Linked DNA regions of Alligator mississippiensis. The protein of the gene in region 2 binds, or shares a complex with, the protein of the main gene of each other region. Links are inferred from orthologs where the notes say so. Each region holds a gene or a part of one and is shown on either strand. Other genes may lie near its edges.

What was found. The genes of interacting proteins can lie anywhere in the genome.
Region 1: PPP4R1 (region 2) and PPP4C share a complex: the UniProt entries of both Homo sapiens proteins name them as parts of the PP4 complex. The link is inferred for Alligator mississippiensis from reciprocal best matches to the Homo sapiens genes PPP4R1 and PPP4C.

The regions. Positions count from the first base shown.
Region 1 is NC_081830.1:228,714-238,561, forward strand, and holds PPP4C (serine/threonine-protein phosphatase 4 catalytic subunit), read right to left. Parts: upstream 4,974-9,848; 5' UTR 4,863-4,973; intron 4,627-4,862; 5' UTR 4,625-4,626; coding exon 4,527-4,624; intron 3,938-4,526; coding exon 3,886-3,937; intron 3,789-3,885; coding exon 3,738-3,788; intron 3,664-3,737; coding exon 3,562-3,663; intron 2,837-3,561; coding exon 2,663-2,836; intron 2,502-2,662; coding exon 2,375-2,501; intron 2,155-2,374; coding exon 1,965-2,154; intron 1,878-1,964; coding exon 1,748-1,877; 3' UTR 1,389-1,747; downstream 1-1,388. Other genes in the region: ALDOA (fructose-bisphosphate aldolase A), read right to left, coding at 5,780-5,875, 6,005-6,204, 6,447-6,621, 6,782-6,865, 7,064-7,224, 7,340-7,394, 7,573-7,784, 7,927-8,038. UniProt on the Homo sapiens protein: Protein phosphatase that is involved in many processes such as microtubule organization at centrosomes, maturation of spliceosomal snRNPs, apoptosis, DNA repair, tumor necrosis factor (TNF)-alpha signaling, activation of c-Jun N-terminal kinase MAPK8, regulation of histone acetylation, DNA damage checkpoint signaling, NF-kappa-B activation and cell migration.
Region 2 is NC_081826.1:95,277,777-95,288,384, forward strand, and holds the start of PPP4R1 (serine/threonine-protein phosphatase 4 regulatory subunit 1), read right to left. Parts: upstream 3,994-10,608; 5' UTR 3,771-3,993; coding exon 3,764-3,770; intron 3,629-3,763; coding exon 3,584-3,628; intron 3,441-3,583; exon of another isoform or gene 3,373-3,440; intron 1-3,372. UniProt on the Homo sapiens protein: Regulatory subunit of serine/threonine-protein phosphatase 4. May play a role in regulation of cell division in renal glomeruli. The PPP4C-PPP4R1 PP4 complex may play a role in dephosphorylation and regulation of HDAC3.

The DNA.
Region 1 (9,848 bases), on a different chromosome or scaffold from region 2:
GCAGCCCTCTGAGGTGCCCAGACTGAACTTTCTACGCATGTGCAGCCAGGCGCGCGGGGCGGGGGGTCCGCGCATGTGCGCCTCAGATCAGCTTAGTGAGGTTCGACGCCTTCAACGCATATGCGGAGGACCGGCCTGATAAGGAGTGCATTCAGCGCATGCGCTTACGGTGACCGGGGACTGCAGTCAGACGAGCGGACGCCAGAGGGCAGCAGAGGGAGTCTCCAGTTAGGGGACAGTAGCGCATGCACAGGTACGAACAGCGGGGGCTGCGTATGCGCGCAGGAATTCACGTGGACGGACTTTTTGCGCATGCGCATGAAACCGCGTTAGGAAACTTCAACGTACGCACGGAGCAGCAGCCCCGGGGGGGGTCTGACGGCCTTTCTACGCATGTGCCTACTCAGGGCGAGGGCTGCAGCGAAGCTAGTGGAGGCTAGAGGGCAGCAGAGAGTCCTAGAGCGCGGGCGGGCAAGGTTTTTTAGGTAAATCCGACACCTATTGTTAGACTCACTTTTTACGTATTTATTATTTATTTTGCAAGTACTTGAGTTGATCTAATAACAGATTTCGCCTTTACTCAAATAGCCTTGTCTGTCTATGTTCTTAGAGTAGAGCAACACAGCAACAACCTACACCTCGGGGGGGGGGGTGGTATTTAGTGCGCGCAGAAACAAGCAGGCCTGAGGGGAGGAGGGTTCTCTGCGCATGCGCTTAGTCAGCCGCAGGGCTGCAGAGAAGCCAGCGGACGCCAGAGGGCAGTAGAGACAGGCCCTGGCTTGGGGGGGAGGGGGGATTAGTACATCCGCACATACAGGCACCTCGGGCGGGGGAGGGGGGATTTCGCGCATGCCTTAAGTACTCAGCGTTAAGGTTTTTTGCACATGCACGACCTGAAGAAGACTTCCCGCGCATGCGTCTACTCAGCCCGAGGGCTGCAGTGATGCGAGTGAACGGCAGAGGGCAGCAGAAAGGGGTCCCAGATGGGGTGGGGGGGGGTCATTAGCACATGCGCAGATACGAAGTCCCGGGCAGGTGGGGGTGCGATTCGCGCATGGGTAGCGCTCACCTTAGCGAGTTTTTGCACATGCGCACAAGCCTGAGGCGGGAGCTGCGCGGGGGCCCGATGGAACGAACCTTCAACGCATGCGCGGACTAGCCTGAGAGGCGGGGTCGGGGAGTCTTCCTGCGCATGCACCTAACCAGCCCGAGGGCGGCAGAGGTGAGTGAACGCCAGGGGGCAGCAGAGGCCCCAGGAGTGTCCTGCGCGTGCGCAGCACCAGGTCTGGACGCCAGGGGGCAGCGGAGACACCGGGTGAGGCCCGGCCGCAGGATCCTCGGGGGCGGGGCGGAGAGCACCGACGCCTAGGTCCAAGAAGAGGCAGAGGTGGGGTTTCAACCTTTCTACAAATGTCGTTTTTTTATTCTTTTCATTTTTCCATTTTTATTTGGTTTTTAAGGAAGTTTTTCTTTTTGTATCTAAAACGAACAGGAAAAAAAACCAAAGAAATAAAAACAGGAACAATAACAAAAAAAGCTTCGTGGAGAAGCCAGGGGGGCAGGGCTGGGGGCCCCAGGGGAAGCAGCTACGGCCCCCACGAACCCCCAGAGCAGCAGGGCCTGAGTGCCCCTGGTCCTGGGGCCGCCAGCGGGACCCCTAACCCCGAGAGAAGCCCTTCCCCCCATACAGCCAGAGGGGGGCACCCCCAGGGAGATGGTGGGCAGGGGGGTTACAGGAAGTGGGGGGTCACAGGAAGTAGTCAGCCACAGGCTTCTTGGAGGGGATCCCCCTCGTCTCCTGGGGGGCAGCTTCAAAAATGATGAACTCCTTCTGCAGGTGCTCGTCCAGCTCCAAGATGGCAGCCACATTCCCGCACCTGTGGGGGGGGGGGGGGGGGTCACAGGTCACATGCTGGTGCCCCTTGCTCCCAACCCGCAGCCCCCTGGCGGTGCCCCTGCCCCACCTGTAGCAGTAGTTGGGGGCCGACCAGACTGTGAGCACAGTCTCATTGAAATGCCACTTGTAACCCTCCATGACGAGCTGGTGTGCTCGGCAGATCATGTCGATGTCGTTGGATGCGTTGAACTGGGCCACCACATCACTGCCAAACAGGTAGCCGGCCCCCCGCGGGCTCACGCCCCAGCCCGTCGTGTCTGCAAGGCAGGGACAAGGCCCGTTATGTGTGGCCACTAGCACCACCCACCCCAGAGCCAGCTGCATGGCAGGGTGCTGTTACAGCCAGCTGCCAGCACCACCCACCTGCAAGCTGCTCGCATCACTGGGCTGACCAAGCCCTCTTGGGCAGCATCACAGCCTGCTGTTCCCATCTGCCCCACCCCAGAGCTGGCTGCATTGCTGCCCCCTCCATTGTACCTTCAGGGTCAGACCAGAGCAGGTCACACATGGGGCCGTCGTGGGGCACCTCCTGCTTGCGGTCGATTGTGCGGATCTGGTCCAGCGTCTGGATCGAGGGCGACAGTCCCCCATGCACGCAGAAGATCTGAGAGGGCAGGGAAGAGGGGGCATGGGTCAGGCAGGGGAATCCCAGACCAGAGGCTAAACCATTGCCCGCTGGAAAACCCAAGTGTCCAGGCTCCCACTGTTCAGCCCCCTGCTCTTCCCCCACAGGGAACCCAGGTCTCTGGGAGCGGGGTGGGGCACCTTGCCGTCGATGATGGCTGAGAGGCTGAGGTAGTCGAAGATCTCGGTGCAGTAGCGCCACACAGTGACGGAGCCGTACTTGCGCAGACACTCATCATAGAAGCCATAGACCTGCGTGATCTGCCGGCTCTCATGGTTGCCGCGGATCAGCGTGATCCGGTCTGGGTACCGCACCTGTGGAGGCCATGGGGGGGGGGGTTTACACTTGGCCACCAGCACATCCCACCCCAGAGCTGGCTGCTTTCTGCAGCCTGTTACACTCGGCTACCAACGTGCCCCACCCAGAGCCATCTGCAGTGCTCAGGCCTGCAGGCAGCTGGTTCTAGGGTGGGACGCATTGTAGTCAGCTGCCAGTATGTCCCACTCCAAAACCGGCTGACAGCAGATGAGTACAGGAGAGCTGAACAATGCAGCTGACTCTAGGGTAGAGCAAGTCAGCAGCTGAGTATAACAGGCCCAAGTGCTGTAGCTGGATCTGGGGTGGGATGCGTCAGGGGCCAAGTATAACATCCCACCCTACAGCCCGCAGCACTGTTCAGCCCTATTATACCCGGCTTCACCCACACCCCCACAAAACCAGCTGCACCGCCCAGGCCTCTTATACTTGGCCACTTAAACACCAGGCCCCAGAGGTAGCTGCAACGCTGGCCCCTGTGGTACCTGGCTGCTGCCACAGGATGCTTCAACCCCAGGCCCAGCCGCCTCAGTGCCTGTGACACCCTAGAGCCAGCTCCAGCCTGAGGGCACAAGTCTTCCTGTCCCCAGTGGGGCCCAGCCCAGAGCCGGCTGCATCCGTCCCCCAAGCCTCCCCTGCCAGCTACCCCCTGCAGCCGCCCTGCCCCAGAGCATGCCAACCCCAGTTGTGTGCCCAGTGCCCTGGGGGGGCTGGGGGCATCTACCTTGAGCGCCAGCAGGAGCAGGAAGGTCTCGACGCTGTAGAAGCCGCGGTCCACAAAATCCCCCATGAAGAGGTAGTTGGTCTCGGGGACGTCGCCGCCCACCTGGGGGGCAGCAGGGGTAAGGGGGGGCCTGCAGTGGGGGGGGCAGGGTGGAGTTTGTGGGGGGCAGGACTCACCCGGAAGAGCTCTTTGAGGTCATAAAACTGTCCGTGGATGTCACCGCAGACCTGGGGGGGGCAAGGGGGGGGGGTGAGACAGGGCAGCCCTGATGCCCTCTGGCCTAGACCCTCCTGGCCCAGGGACCCCTGCCCAAGCCCCGCTCACCGTCACTGGGGAGTCCACCCGCTGCACGTTGCTCTCCTCCACCAGGATCTCCCTAGGCAGGGAGAGGCAGGGACACCAGTTATTCATGGCCTTTGCCCCCGTGTCCCCCAGAGCCAGCGCCCCGCGGGGCCCGTCCTGCCCCCGTGTCCCCCAGAGCCAGCGCCCCGCGGGGCCCGTCCTGCCCCCGTGTCCCCCACAGCCAGCGCCCCGCGGGGCCCGTCCTGCCCCCGTGTCCCCCACAGCCAGCGCCCCGCGGGGCCCGTCCTGCCCCCGTGTCCCCCACAGCCAGCGCCCCGCGGGGCCCGTCCTGCCCCCGTGTCCCCCACAGCCAGCGCCCCGCGGGGCCCGTCCTGCCCCCGTGTCCCCCACAGCCAGCGCCCCGCGGGGCCCGTCCTGCCCCCGTGTCCCCCACAGCCAGCGCCCCGCGGGGCCCGTCCTGCCCCCGTGTCCCCCACAGCCAGCGCCCCGCGGGGCCCGTCCTGCCGCCCCAGAGCTCTGTTCTATGCAGACAGCAGCCGGGCCCCCCAGAGCCAGCCGCACTGCGCGAGCTCTTGACCCGAGCCCCGGTGCGGGCTCCCCAGAGGCGGCTGCGATGCAGGATCCCCCTTACGCGGCGCCCCCAGCCCTGCCGCCCCGCTCACCGGGCCTTGGCGCACAGGGCCTTGACCTCGCTCTCCTTGATGAGCTCGCAGCGCCGCAGCTGCTCGATCTGCCGGTCCAGGTCGCTCAGCTCCGCCATGGCTGGGGGGCAACGCGGGGTCGGGGTGAGCGCGGCCCGGGCCCCCGCGCAGGGCCCCACAAGCACCCCCGGCCCCGCACGCTACCCAGGAGCTGCCCCCAGGCCACGCTGGCCCAAGCTGCCCCCGGAACCGGCCCCCACAGCCTGACCCGCCCCGGGGGCCCCGGAACTGCACCCCCCCCGGCCCGGATCCTTGCCGCTGCGACGCCAGCATATGCACCACCCCCCCCCCCCGCACCTGGTCCCGGCGGCGGCCCCGCGTCGCACCGGTTCCCACCGCTCGTGGCCCCGCCCCCGCCGGCGCGACGTCACGTCCGGACACCCCCCTTCCTCCACAACCGGAAGGAGGAAGGCCTGAGAGACGGGCGGGAAGTGACGCATTTGGGACGTCTAAGGGAAGAAAGAAAAGGTGAGGGACAGGAAGCGACGTCACGGTGAGGGCGGAAGTAACGGTAAAAGCGTATGCTACGCAAACAGCCAGAATGAAGTGTAGGGCCGGGCGGAACTGACGTGTAGAGCCGAAATGCCACGGGAAATGAGGGGGCGCATGATGAATGACATCAGAGCCAGGGCGGAAGTGCTACCCAGGCACCCGTCACGGGGCGGAAGTGGCGGGGAAGGGGAGCGAGGGATGGGCGAAGGTGATGTCACCCGAGCGTGGATTCCTGTGCCCTAGGCCGAGCATGTGACGTCAGCAAGCAGGGGCCTGTGCCAGGACAGGCTACTCGGGCAGGGACATGCATTCCCTCTGCTGCGGTCACGTGTGGGGGACACAGGCCAGAACCCTGCCCCCCCCCCACCCTGGCTCCTTTCCCCTCCTGGGGGCCAGAGGGGCCCACGGCCTAGACCCCCGAAACCCGCACCCCCGAGGCCCAGGAGCACAGGACACATATCTTCATGAATTCATTTTATTCAGTAACTCAGTGTAGTTAGGGCCTCGCCCGCCCCCACCCGGAGACCGGGCAGCTGGAGGGGGGGCGGGAGCCGGAAGTGTTGCTCACCAGGGGGAGGGGGAGGGGGGGAGGGGCCGCCCGGAGGCCGGGGTTCTTGTGCCCGCTGGTCTCTGCCCCAGTCGGGTCCAGGTGAATATAGTTGCAGCCCAAGTTGGGAAGGGGATGGGGGAGGGGCGGGGGGCAGGCAGGGTGGAGCCGCAGCCTAGTAGGCATGGTTGGAAACGAAGAGAGACTCCTTGGAGGCAGCACCGGCCTGGCCGCTGCCGGCGTACTTGCCCTGGCAGGCGAGGCTGTTGGCCTGCAGAGAGACGGACAGACAAGACAGGTCAGAGCAGCACAAAAAACCCAGCGTCCAGGCTCCCCTCCCCCACCCCCTCTGCAAGTCAGAGGTCACTCTCCCCCCGCCGCGGGCCAGGTCAGTACGCACCAGAGCGCGCTTGACGTACTCCTCCTGGGCCGCCTTGGTGTTCTCCTTCTTGCCGCCCCAGGCCTTGAGGGCTGAAGCCTGCAGCGCCCGCCCGTAGGAGAAGGTCAGGGCCCAGGGCTTGTGCAGGGGGCACTTGTTGATGGCATTGAGGTTCAGAGACGCCTCCTCCTCGCTCTGCCCCCCGGACAGGAAGGTGATACCTGTGAAGGGGGAGGGAGTCAGTGCCGGCGTGACACAGTGCTCGCGGGGTTAACAGGCTGGGCTGGAGCAGGGGACCCTGGGCATAGGCACAGCACCCAGGGGGTTAATGGGCAAGGGGGTGGAGTCAAGGAGATGGTGGAGCCTCCCCTACCCTGGCTTGCATGCCCAGAGCATGGCTGTCAGGGGTGAGATAGGGAGCAGGGCCACAGGGGGTGAAGCCAGGGGCAGGCCCAGGTCTCACCGGGCACAGCAGGTGGCACGGTGCGGCGCAGCGCGGTGATGGTAGCCATGGCGATCTCCTCATGGCTGTACTTGGTGGTGCAGGCGTGCCCAGGTGTCACCATGTTGGGCTTCAGCAGTGACCCCTCCAGGTAGACATGGTGGTCACTCAGCGCCTTGTACACAGCCGCCAGCACCTGGGGGGGGGCAGGACTGGTCAGCACACCACCCACATCCACTGCTGCATCTTCCCTCCAGCTCCTCCAAGAGGCGGGGCTCCTTCTGGCCACACCCCCCAAAGATCTCCCACCTCCCAGCCTCTGGTAAGTGCCCCCTCACTGCAGTGACCCCTCTCACCTTCTCGGTGACGTGCTGGCAGCGCTTCAGGTCATGGTCGCCATCGGGGAGGATCTCGGGCTCCACGATGGGCACAATGCCGTTCTAGAAGGACATGGGGGGAGGTCGGGATGAGCCTGTTAGCCCTGACCCCAACCCCCAGCCCCACCTACAGCCCCTCTAGCCCCACCTGCTGGCAGATGCTGCCTGTGCCCTTCTGGCTCTGCCCTCAGTCTTAGCCCCACCCCCTGCTAGCTCCTGGGAGAGGAAGTAGCCCTGCCCCCAGCCCTGCCCCACGGCCACCTGCTGGCAGATGCTGGCGTAGCGGGCCAGCACATTGGCATTCTCCAGGATGGCGAGGCGTGAGGGCGTGTGGGGCCCGATCTTGAGCACGCAGCGCCACTTGGCGAAGTCGGCCCCATCCTTCTTGTACTGGGCACAGCGCTCAGAAAGCCCGTCCAGGCCTGGGGAGGGGGATGAGGCTCAGGACCCAGGCATTTGGGGAAAACCCCGCAGACATGCCTGTCCTGCCAGATGCAACCACTCCCAGCCCCGAGACCCTGGTGTCCAGGCACTCACCTTGGGTGGTGGTCTCCCCATCGGTCCCGGCCAGGGCCACCACGCCCTTGTCCACCTGCGGTGGGGGAGAGGGAACCTCATCAGTACTGCCCCGACCCCTGGCCTCCACTCCTCACTCCTGCACCCCAACTACCAGGTTCAAGGTAAAAGCCTCCTGAGACCTCCAACCCCGGCCCCCTCCCCCCCCCCCAATAGTCCCCATGACCACCTTGCCCACCCCCCCGGGGGCCTACCTTGATACCAACAACGCCGCCCTTGGCCTTGATGACCTGGGGGAAGGTGCGCCCATCGTCGGCCTTCTGGTAGAGGGTCTCGTGGAAGAGGATGACGCCGCCAATGCAGGGATCCACGCGCGCGTCGGCCGTGAAGAGCAGCTGCCGGTACCAGCGCCGGTTCTCCTCGGTGTTCTCTGCCCCGATGGAGCTCAGGCGCTTGGCGATGCTGCCTGCAGGGGGGCGGGTGGGGGTTAACACAGGGGGCCCTGCAGTGCCCCGTGCCTCCCACTCCCGCCCCGCAGCCCCCCCCCCCCGTGCCCCACACTCCCGCCCCGCAGCCCCCCCCCCGTGCCCTGCACTCCCGCCCCGCACCGGTGGACTCATCGGCGGCCAGGATGCCCTTGCCGGGCGCCACGATGCGGTGGGCGATGTCCGCCAGCTCCTTCTTCTGCTCGGGCGTCAGGGCCGGGTGCGGGTGCGGCATCTTGGCGGCTGCGGGAGCGCAGGGGTTACGCGCGGGACGTGCGGCGCGCGGCCTTCCGCATGGCCGCTTCCGGCCCCCCCTGGGCGGGACCCGGGCGTCGGGGGGGGGTCGTGGCCGCGGGTGGGGGCAAGTGTCCGGGGGGGTCGTGTGCCCGGGGCGCGGGCGGGACCGAGGGGGCCGGGGCGGGAGGGGGGGCGATGGCAGCCCCCGGGCCCGCGTGCCCGAGCTCCGCGCGGCGGTGCCGGGAGTCAAGGTCGCTCCAAGGGCGGGGGGGGCAGGGAGCCAGGCGCCCGGCCCAGCAGCGCCCCCCCGGCGCTTCCCCCCACCCCGACGCCCCCCCCCCGGCCCGAAGCCCCCCCGGCCCGACGCCCCCCCCAAGCCAACCTGCGGCAGCGGCGGCGGCGGGATCGACTGCGCTGCCGCGTGGGGCTGCGGCGGGCTAGGGGCTGGGGGCGGGGCGCCGCGCCGACGTCACGCGCGGGCGCGGCCGGGGGGCCACGCCCCTGCTGCCCCCGGGGCTGCCCTGGGGCTCCCCCACGCCGTGCCCCGCCCGCGCAGTGACGTCCCGGGGGCGGGGCCTGGGAGGCTCTGGGGTTGCGTCACTGCACCCCCCGGCCCGCCGCGCGTGGGTTTCGCGCTGACCTTTGCGGGGGAAACCCGATCCCCGCCAAGGGCGCCGCGGGGCCCGCGCTCGCGGCCTGCCCCCGCCGCCCCGGCCCCGTGCCCCCGCCGCCCCGCAACGCCCCCACCTACAGCCCCGCTATGGCGCCTGCCCCGCGGCCCCAGGCCGCCCCGGCGCTGCCCCACGTCCGCCCCAACCCCCCTGGACACCGCCCCAGCGCCCTGCAGACAGGGCCCTCCTGCCCGCCCCCCCGTGCCCGAGCACGAGCCCGAGCCCCGCCGTGGGCCGCCCCTCACCTGGCGGGCGGGCGGGCGGGGCAGGGTCTGGTGGCAGTGCCGGGCGGCCGGTGCGGGGGCTGCGGGCGACCCCCTTATATGAGGCCGGGCGGAGGGGGCGGGGCCGCCCGGGGGGGCTCTGACCTTCTCGGCGACCCCTGCCCTTTCACAGCTGCCGCTAAAAATAGCCCCGGGAGAAACTCGACGCCCCTGACATTCAGGGGGGCGGCTCGTGCACAGCCCGCGGCGGGCGGGCGGGCGGGCTGCGTGGGGCGGCCGGGGAAGCACGGCCTTCCCCACGGGCCGGGGCAGCCCGGGAGCGGGCGGCGCGCAGGCCCCCGCGGCACGGCAAGCCGGGCGCTGGTGGAGGACCCGGCGGCCGGTCGCACAGGCGGCGCTTCCCGGGACGGGCGACTGCTTCTCCGGCGGCGGGCGGCGCTGCTCCCCGTCACCCCCCGGCCGCGGTTGAGCCAGGCGCCGGCTTCCAAGTGCGGCCAAGCCGCGCGGGGGAGGTGGTAGCCGTGCTGGCTAAGGACGGGCAGACGAGGGTCTCTGCGTGAATCCCGTGTCTTTCCTTAGACCCACTTAAATAGCTGGAAGAACTTTAAAGCCAGCTTCCGGGCTTAAAAGCCCTTCCTCAGGCCGGCACACGTGCAGATCTTCCTCAGCCTGACCAAGAGTTGTTAAACCCGAAAGCTTGCTTACAAGTTTTTCCAACTATTTAAGTGGGTCTAATGAAAGATGTCAGATCCACGCAGAGAACCTGGTCTTCCAAGCTGTAATACTCTTATTAATATAAATATACGCGAGGAGGAAAGGGGCCGAGCAAGAGCAGCCCCCCAGCGCTGTGCAGCGGGGGTAGTTCAGCGCCCCTTGCTAGTCCTTTACCCGCTGCCCGTAATGTGTGCGCTCC
Region 2 (10,608 bases):
CCTGCAACTTCATTGGTGTCAAAGGTCACATGACATCTCTTCCTGATGTGATACCGCTTCCTGTGAGGTCTTTGAATGTAGCTCGCTGGCCCACTGGATGATAAAAAGTTCATGATCCAGCCCCACATTCAAAAAGGTTGGACACCCCTGCCCTAGTAGATCATTTGGATTAAAACACAATCTACTGAATATTGCATGACATTTAGGCAGTCATCTTCCCCTTTAAAAAAATAAAGTACTTTAGAAAGTGAAGCCAGTTCTCAGCTACATTTCACAACTTCTTCCTTTTCACTGAGAACATATTTGTCAGCATTGTAGGCAAGGCTTGAAATTTGGTTGTTTTTCTGTAATTAGTCTAATGTCAAAGGATTATTCAAACTCTGGGTTATTGTTTCCAAGATACACAGTCAACTGATCTTATTTCAAATATACATTTTTTAGACAGATATAATACAAGTACATCCAATTATACCAACGTTCCTAAAATTATGCCTGCACTACAAGGAATAATACATACACAGTTGCATTGTCTGCCCTTGCAAAAATTTAGGCTAACTGCAAGACCATATTTGACAGAATTACACGTATGAGTATATTCAAAAGACTTTTTTATACCCAAGAATGTGCCAATACATCCTAAGATTTTTTTAAAACTTCCCAGAGCCTATTCCCAAGCCTGCTGCTGGAAACGCAGCTGAAAAATAAGAGCTTTAAGGTCATCTAATCTAATTCCTCAACAATACAGAACTGTTCCCTGCATTAAGTTTTAGTCTGCTTTTTGTCCAGTTCCTTACCTTTTCTAGAAAATAATTGTGTGTGTTGAATTGTTCATTTTTATTTCATTTATAAAAAGCTTCACTCTCTTCCGGTGAGGTCCTTTAAAGTCCTTTGCCTGCTTCTTTCATAATTCTAGCCTAGGGCAGCATTCATCTAATCTTCACAACCTACAACCAAGTATGTAGATGACTTTGATTTTTACCATAATTTTTTCCTTTCCATAATGTTCCATCTATTTTTGGGAGGCTAAGAACAAAGAATCAGACTGTGTGTGTGTAGGGCGGCTATAACATATATATGTTCTATCAGTAATCTCCTTTATTTATGTTCTGACTTTTACGTTCAAGGAAAATGTTACAAGGAAGACTAAGAGATATCTTTGCCCATTCATATAGAGCTGTTACACAAATTAAAGATATGCTATAAATCTGAAATCTGGTCAAACTGAATGAAAAGATAGTTAAGAAACCTTACAAGAGATAACTCTCTCATGCTAGTCCACCATGAAAAATCTGAACACAGGATACAAGGCTGAAACACTGGATCACTATCACTGAAGTGGGGGAATGCTGCTTAAAAGTGTTTGTTTTCACTTGAATTTTGACCAATTTAACAGATGAACTGCTATTAGTTTTAGATTCCTTAAAGACTATTTCAAACCAAACTAAAGCCACAATCTGCTCACAGGGAGACACCCCTTCGACCTGTCAATGGCTGGAAACAGACATCCTCTTTGGAGCACAGCTAATCCACTTCAGAGACATCTAACAGACACTGTCAGACCTGTCGCTGTCCACAGTCCATATCCTGCCACTCCCAGGGCTTCAAGGACCCAATCCTGGAAGAAACGAGCACTGAGTTCGGGTATGCATTTACAAGGGGGGAAGCCCCAACTTGTAAATTCGCCCCCATGTTGGGATGCAGGGGAGCCCTTCAGGAGGGGATTCCCCCAGCTTGTGTCTGCAAAGCATGGGGGGGAGAATTTCCCTGGTGTTCCCTCTTCTGGTTGCAGGGAGCACCCCAACCCAGGGGCACCAACAAAAAAAGGTACCAGGCACCAAGGCCATGTGCAAGAAGAGGGCAGAACTCCTAGAAATTCCCCTCTCCACATCTGCAGAGCTAGGGGCATAATACCCCCACTATAATGTGCAGGTAGGAGAAGCCCTTCACACTTGCACACATGCATCAGAGGTTATTCTGCCAGCCCACAGTCTCCTGCCATAAGTAAACAGATGTCACGCAAAAAGGCAGCACAAATTGTTAGTACCCTTGTTGGTGCCACAAAATTTAAGCACTTTTGGCCCAACAAAGGGCTATGATGTCTGTTCACTCAGTTCTCGTACCTCCATAAAGAATTTTATGGCGGCACATAGGCTGCAAACAGACACTGACTATCAGTCTCCAGATAGGAGCACAGGCATGCCTCAGCAGAGTGCAGGACTGACATCTAAAACAGAAGCCACATAAAAGAGCCATGTTTCTTCATCCCTACCTTATAGTTAGCATTTGATATCACCTTTGTTCTGTTTCCAGCTCTCCTCTATAGCTAGAATTTCAGAATACTTATTTATACGATGAGGTACTTTCTGTCACATCTAATACCACAAACTACCCGTCACTGCACAGAGTTTCTTTACCTAAAACGAACACCCTTTCTGTTGCTAATACAGAATTCTACATCCATCTTTCTACTATACTGCCACAACGCCAGATTCATTCTCCCTCATTGCAAGCATTTTCATTAACAAAGAAGAAAGCAATTTAAAGGGGGAAAAAAACCCTTCAGGGAGTAAAAAAAACACATCTTGGATGAGGTCACAGACACAACAGGCTTTCCTAGGGTTTCTCCTTGCTTGCTCCCTAGATCCTTTACACAAAGGTCCTCAGTTTCTGAATGGGGTCAGTCCTCTGCAAGTCTTAGCCTCATCCTAATCTCACCACGTCCTCATGCTGGCGTCAGGCTGTTACGGAGAACTGAATAACGCGGTTATCCTGGGCAAGTGCACGGGAAACAGACTCCAGCTTCCTCAGAGTTTAAGAGCCCAAGGAGCCTCATGCAACCAGCACAACCCACATGCCCAGCTGGTGAATCCCAAACACCCTGGCTCCTGCGGGGCAAGAAGGGGGGGGGGGGGGCAGCCACACCCACACAAACGGGGAGGGGCATGGGGGACACACGCCCATGCACACACACAGGGAGGGGTGTGGGGGACACGTGCACACATGCACGCACACACAGGTGTAGGGGACACGTGCGCACACGCAGAGGGGCATAGGGGACACGTGTATGCATACAGAGGAGACACACACCCATGCACACATACAGGAAGGGGCATAGGGGACACGCGTGCACACGCACGCACACACATGGAGACATAGGGGACACGTGCACACACAAACACAGAGGGGGTGTAGGGGACGTGCACACATGGGGAGGGGCGTAAGGGACACACCGCACACAAGGGGAGGCATGGGGACAGAGGGGCAGCTTCGGATGTACACACAGATATACACAGAGACGGGGAGCAGTTTAACCCACGGACACAGGGAGCAGCTTAAGACAGGCAGGGAGCAATGCAGGACATGGACACATACCACAACCTGGAGAGCGACACCCGTGCCCGCTGCTTCGCCAGGGTCGAGCCCTGCCCCTGCCCCGCCCGCACTCGTCCTCCGCCCCGCGCGCTTCCTCCGCGGCTGTCCGCGCCCCGCGCCCCGCGCTTCCGGCCCGCCCGCGGCTGCGTGCGTGCCTGCGTGCAGGGCGGGGCCGAAGCAGGCGCCGGGGTAAAGCCCGGGCCGTACTCACATGCGTCCACCTCCTCCTGCGCGTCCTCCTGCAGCAGCGACACATCTGCGGGGAGACGCGCACAATGTAGTGCCCGCCCGCGCTGCCCCCGTCCTCCCTCAGCCCCGCCCCACCCCGCCCGGCCTGGCCCGGCCCCCCAGGGCTCCCGGCTCTCCGAGGGGGGAGGGGGCCGGCACCTACCCGCCATCTTGCTGCGGCCCCCGCGGGACTCCGGCTGCCTCTCAGCAGCCGCGGCGGCGGCAGGGGGGGAGGGGCGGCCTTGCGAGCCTGCGGCTCTGTCTCCAGCTCCGGGCCCGGGCGGCGCCGGCGGGTGTCCCCGAGGGAGCCCCGAGCTCAGCCAGCTGCGGGGAGGGAGGGAAGGAGCGAGGGGGCTGGGCCGGACACGCTGCCCCCGCCTCCGCCTGGGAGCGGCGCACGGCGCTGCCGGCCCTCCCCGCCCCCGCCGGAGCCGCCTCCACCCCACCTCGCGGCGCCAACCGCCTCCCCGGCACCAACGTTCCCCCGCCCCCGGCGCCGTGTCGGCCCCGCTCGCCTCAGCCCGGCCCCCCGCGCCTGGTACTGCGCCCCTCTGCCGGCACTGGCCCTCCCTGCGCCCCGCGTTGGCACGGGGCTGGCTCCCACCCCCCTCCATCCCAGTGCCTCCCTGCCTCTCCCGCGGTGATGAGCAGGGATCCTGGTTTTCTCTCGTTTAAAAAAATTCCCACATTTTCTGATTAAAAAAAACAACTAAATTCTCCTTTTTCCCTTATTAAAATTAAACACAGGCACACACACATATATAATATGTATGTATTAAATATCACATTATATTATACATATACACACACACACACACACAGAGTACATACTTCCCGCCTGCCTGTGGCGCCACGGGACTGATTGCATGGGATCGTAGTATCTACTGTGTGTGTGTGTGTGCGTGTATAGTGGTTCACTTTTTCATCTAATGTGATACATAAAATATGTACATACATAAAATGTTATGTATCACATTTTTCCGTGATTAAAATGAAACACCACTAATATGCACACATATTAGTGGTGTTTCATTTTAATCACAGAAAAATGTGATAATATGATTGTCGCAGGGCACCTCGGTGCCCCTGCTCCTAGAGTGGAGAAACTGCCAGGGAGCAAGTGAGCGCGCCCTGGCCTGACATAACGAGCCCAGCTGAGGCTGCTCAGGTAATGAGCGCAGCTGCAGGTTGCCGGAGCAACCAAGCGGAGCCAGCTGCCTGTAGGGGGCAGGGCCTGGCCCTTATAAAGCTCAGGGCTGAGGCCAGGCTGGCAGTTCTCTGCCAGCAGCCAGGGAGGCAGGAGCTCCCTCAGCCGAGATATGGGAAGGAGCCTAAGTCGCAAGTACAGCTCATGATAGCCCTGGAGGTTTGAGCTATGATGAGGAGTTATGGCCATGCGGCTTGCATTTGTGTTACAGCCTAGGGGCTTGTGGTTTTGCTTTGTGTTTGTGTTATTACACCCGGAGGCTTGGGTGAGGCTGTAGGGGTTGGAGGAGGCCTCAACTATAGGGACCCCAGAGAGTGTGGGGTGCCCTAGCGCCAAGAGGGCGCATTATCTACACAGCGCCAGGGAAGGCGCAGCTCGCACGCCAGTATATGAGCAACTGGCGGCGAGGAGCGCGGCCAGTAGGTCGCGGGCGCGACCTGTAGGTTGCAGACGGGGACCTAGACCCCGGATTGCGTGTGGGGGAACATAGCCCCCTGTATAGCGCCAGGGAAGGCGCAGCTTGCACGCCACTGCACGAGCAGCTGGTGGCGAGGAGCGCGGCCAGTGGGTTGTGGGCGCAACCCGTAGGTTGCGGACGGGGACCAAGACCCTGGATTGCGTGTGGGGGAGCATAGCCCCCGGCCCCAGGAAAGGGGCGGTATTACTGAGGAGCCCAGTGTGGGCGTGGCGAGCCCCCAGAGAGGGGGAATGCCCTTGTACATTATTGAGTAGCCCAGTGCGGGCGTGGCGAGCCCCGGAGAGGGGGAACGCCATTGGGTTTTATTGAGTAGCCCAGTGTGGGCGCACGGGTATAGCGAGCCCGACCGCAGGCTAGTGCGGCAATACCCCTCAGACCAAGGCAGTGTGCTGCGGTTGCCCCTGAGAGGACAGGGAGTAGCAGCGCAGGGAGCCAGAGTCAGGGAGGGTGTCCGTGCAGTTGGCCCATAGGACCGGAGGCCCGCTAGAAAGTCCTGAAGCGGAACCACACTGGCAGGGGAGGCCCAGAGTGGGGAGGCCCAGAGTGGGCTAGACGGGAGTCCCAGCAAGAGGCTGGGCATGAGACAGGGAGCCCAGAGTGGGCCACATTAGAGAGGAGGCCTGGGAAGCGGGCATATAGACCGAACAACGTCCTTTACGTCTGCGAGGCTTGGGGCGTGGTATCAGGGGAGGTAGGAGCCACGCATAGCCCATAAGGCTAGGGCACTTGGGTAGCGCCCATTGTACGGGGAGACCCACGAGGGGTCCAGGAGCTGACAGGCCCGAGGTAACACAAGGCAGCCTCCCTATTACATATATTCCATCAAGACGTGGTGGGCGAGAATGGAGGGTGCCCTCGGGCTGGAGTAGCGCAGTGAGAGGGCCTCACAGAGATCACGGCCCTCCGTGAGGACCCGAGGGAGAGGGAGAGAGGGAGGGTTTTTTGTTTTAATCACAGAAAAATGTGGATTGGGGGGGGGGGGGGGGGTTGAGTCAGAAAATTTGGGATTTTTTTTTTTACTGGAGAAAACCAGAATCCCTGGTGATGAGGCTGAAGCTGGTTGGTTCTAGGGAACCAACTTCCCATCTCATCCCAAGACACAGGGTTTGGGGAGGTGGTGACCAGGGGGACTCACTAGGCTGGGGAAGCAGCGCTGTGCATTTGCAGTGCACTTGCGCCATGCTCCCGGGTGGATCCCGCCATTGTGATGTCACTCCCCAAGGAGCCAGCTCCTGGAGGTGATGGTTCCAAGGCTGGTGTCACTGTGCCATAGGGTGGGGTGGTCAGCTGATTTTTTTTTTTTTTTTTTTTTTTTTTTTTTCCCCTCTCCCCATAATCTAGAGCTTCTGGTGCCAATTTAAAAGCCACCTTGAAATGTCTTCAGTGCTGTTCCACTTTAGAGCAATTTGGGCTTGTGGGATTGCGGAAGCCCGGTGTCTAAACTGGTGGCTCTCAACCTTTTATAGTTTTGACGTGCCCCTCAGAAAATGCCAGCTCTTAGTTTTCACTCATTTTTTTGACTGCAGAAAAACAATAAAGCTATTTTTCTGTTGCAAAGAACTCAGAAAGCCCATAGCAGGTTGGAACGGGTTTAACACTGTGGATTCCTATTTGAAATCTCTGGGTTTATCTTGTGAATTGTGTTTGTGCAATTAACAGAAGTAATAACATTGTGTAGCACGCTTGAAAGGATATCAAGGCATGCCATTGTACCCTGACTGAGAATCACCGGTATAACGTCTAAACAACTTTTAATTCAAAAGGTTAAGAAGAGATTGGTTACCAAGCATGTCATGCCTGAGGCTTATTTCTGAACCTTTTTCCAACCCATTACAAAAGTATAATAAGGTATACCAAAACACTATGCATCCATTACCTTTTTATAATTCTTATAAAATTAATTTGCGTATTTTAATTTAAGCTTCTATAATTTGGAATTGCACTAAGAGCATTTGCTTTCGAAATTGGGCATTAGTAGTGTTTATTTTTTAATCATGGCATTTTTATGTCACTTTGGGGGGAAGTAGTCTACAGGGTATTTAGGAAATTTAATTTTTCTATAATGTATGTTTAAATAGGGGAGCTGCTATTTATGCAAGGAAACAATGTAGAATGACTGTTTTGAGAGATTTGTAATATGTTGTCCTGATTTTGGTACTCCTGTTAAGAGTACTGTTTCTGTTGCTATGTTCTGGATATACAATACAATGGGATGTTTTTACATTGCAAAGTTAATTACATTTTCAGTTTTTTTGCAACAAGTTACTTCAATAGGTATATGGCTCCTCATGTGCAACCAGCAGTAGATGTATTATTTATAGCCACTGTGACAAATTTATGCAACTAAGAGGGCAGGTAAGTGGGATATGATGTTGGTCTACATACCTTTTGCCTATTGGAAGTCCATGGGGTTTGCTGCATTTGACCTTTCATATAGCTGGAAGATCAAGGGCCCTCTTGAGCTTGTCCGTGACTCCTGAGAGGGTAGCATGGAGACAGGGGGAACAAACCACCAAGTTTGTCCAAAGGTTCTGAATGATTTAAGAGCTATGATGGATTTGATGCATCAGAATCTGACTGGAACCAAAGAGAATCGAAGTTTAGAGGGGGCCTTGGTTCCATATTATCACCAGGGAAGTGCCACAAAATACAGAATTAATGGGAGGCAACCATTTGAAATTGTAAAAAAGCAGAATGATGTGACCTAGCGTGGAGAAGCCTTGGAGGGTGTTCCCAAAATTGCAGCAATTCATTTTGGGGGCACTGTTTTCTCACATAATTCCCCCCAAATTGGATCAGTGTAGATTTGGGTACCCCATGATAGCCTGTCACAACAGTGTCCACTTCTGTAAATGAAAATACTGTATAACCAAAAATCTTGCTTCAGTAACACATGGAAAAGAGAGGAGGAGAAAAACTCACTTTTATCTGGAAATGTGCCACCATATGCTGCCAGCTTCTGCTTCCTGAATATGGATGTCCAGATGGCCCTATTTCTAAACTTTCTGGCTGCGATGAATGGGATGTCAGTCTAGATCTTCAGTCTTTCAAGGCCTGATCCACAGTCCACTTAAATATCTGATAACACTCCCACTGATCTCAATGGGCTCTGGCTCCAAATAAGGAAAGGAACAGAAAACTTAATGTGTATGACACATAAAATGGGTCTTGAGATATGTGATGAATTGCCAGTTTCAAAGATATTATTACTACAGAATGCCCTCCAGGGGGTGATTGCTTGGGACCACCTGGATTTTGTGTGGTCTCAGAGTGTATCCCAAAACCAGACCAGGTGTGGCCTCTAAAGCATGGGGGGAGCCCTGTCTCTCTCCCATTCTGAGACACTCCTGCTGACTTTTTGTTCCTTACCCTCCCATTTATGTCCATAACCCTGACTCAGAAACCTAGCTCCTGAGAGAGGGACTTTACCTCTTGTTGGGCAGACCAAATGCAACCCAAAGTTTATTTCCCTGTTTCCCCTAGACATCTGTAATCCTCACCTTTGTTAAAATGTCAGCAAAGCTATTTGAGTCTCTGTAGATGGATGCAATGGATGTGTCTTCTTTCATGTAGACCAAAAACTCCAGCTTCACTGTCTCTATAACCCATTTCCCCCACCTCCCCCCACCCTTCTCCCCTATGTTAGCTACAGGGAAACAGAGGCATGCAACACTGTTACAATACGAATACAGTTAACACAGAAATATTACAATGAACACCATAGTCCATCACAATTGCCATTTAAAAAAAAGTTATCAAGACTTTGAAATCAAAATGATATTAAAAAAAAAAAAAAAGCAAGAGACATTTCCTAATATTAGATTAAAAGATTTCAAAGAGATGTTAAGTGCTCAACAACAAATCATTTAACCAGTGGTGTAGTGGGACCACATATGCCTGGGGCTGCCAGGACACATGGGACTAATGAAAACATTCAAATAGATTTTATACTAGAATTGGAATGATCTTTCTTTCTCTACTCCCAAATGCCAGAAATGCAAAACCATAAAAATAACTAACTTGGGGCTTGGTTTCATTAGAAAGTACATAAATCTATGGAAGACTACGTTATTATGTTGAAAAGGCAGGGGTATAAATTAGAAGACAAAAATGGAGAGCACTTGACATGGTGTTTCATACATGAGGAAAATGGGAGTATGGTATCTAGGGGTATAGGTTGTAGCCGTGTTGACACGGCCATCCCTGGGAGGGGCGAATTGGGGCCACTGCTACAGACCCCATGCTTTGGGGGGGCCCTGCAGTCAGTACAGTAGAGGTCCTGCTGCGGCCACCACTGCCAAGTGCTGCTGGCTCCGGCTGCTCGCCACCCCCCCCCTCCCAGGCCCCGCACAGGCTGATATGCCCCATGGGGGCCCTGCATACCCCTAGGGATGGCTCTGCCTGTTGGTCTCAGTTCTAATCCTCTCAGTCATTGGCAATGCATAGTATATACATACATGTATATATACATGCAGGGGCATGTGTACCCCCTGAGATTGGTGGTGCACCCCCTGCAAAAAGCGCTGCCAGCAGCGCCTGCTGGCAGTTGCTGCTCACCACCCCCCATCACCACCAACACTACCGGTGGCATCTGTGGGCAGTCCCCAATCACCGCTGGCCAATGCCAATACTGCTGGTGGCATCTGTGGGTGGTTGCCAACCACTGGTCAGCACTCACCCCCCCTGCCAACAGTGCCATGGCCACCTGTGGGAGCTCGCCACTCGCTGCTGCCATCCTCCTGCCGCTGACAGCACCACTGCTGTCTGCAGGAGCTTGCCATGCCATGCCAGCCTCCAGGGCCTCGTGGCATTCATGCTGTCAGTGCTCTCATAGCTTTCAGTTCTAATCCTCAAAGGGAAATTACAAAACACCTTTCACAGACACACCTACGAACTTCACTTCATCAACCTACTGGATACAACAAATCATGGACTAAATAGAGACATTGGATTTATGACACATTATAACCTGCCTAATATCTGACTCCCCAGGTAACCTCTCTTCTCTTAATCAGCTGTATTCATTCCCTTTCCCATCCCCCTCACCTCTCTCTCACCCATTGACTACTTCAATTTGTATTTTTACTGACTGGCTTTCTTGCATACATACTGGCTTCTGACTTTTTTACTATTCCATCCTGGAAGAGCACAGACTAACTGCAGACACTTCCTCAGCTTGATGAAGGGTATTTGTACCCAAAAGCTTGCAAAGAAGAATTTTTTCAACTATTTGAGTTGATCTAATAAAAGATATTGAATTTACCCAAAGAACCTTGTATGGTATCTACTGTCATGTGCTACATTATATATATCTAGCTGTTCA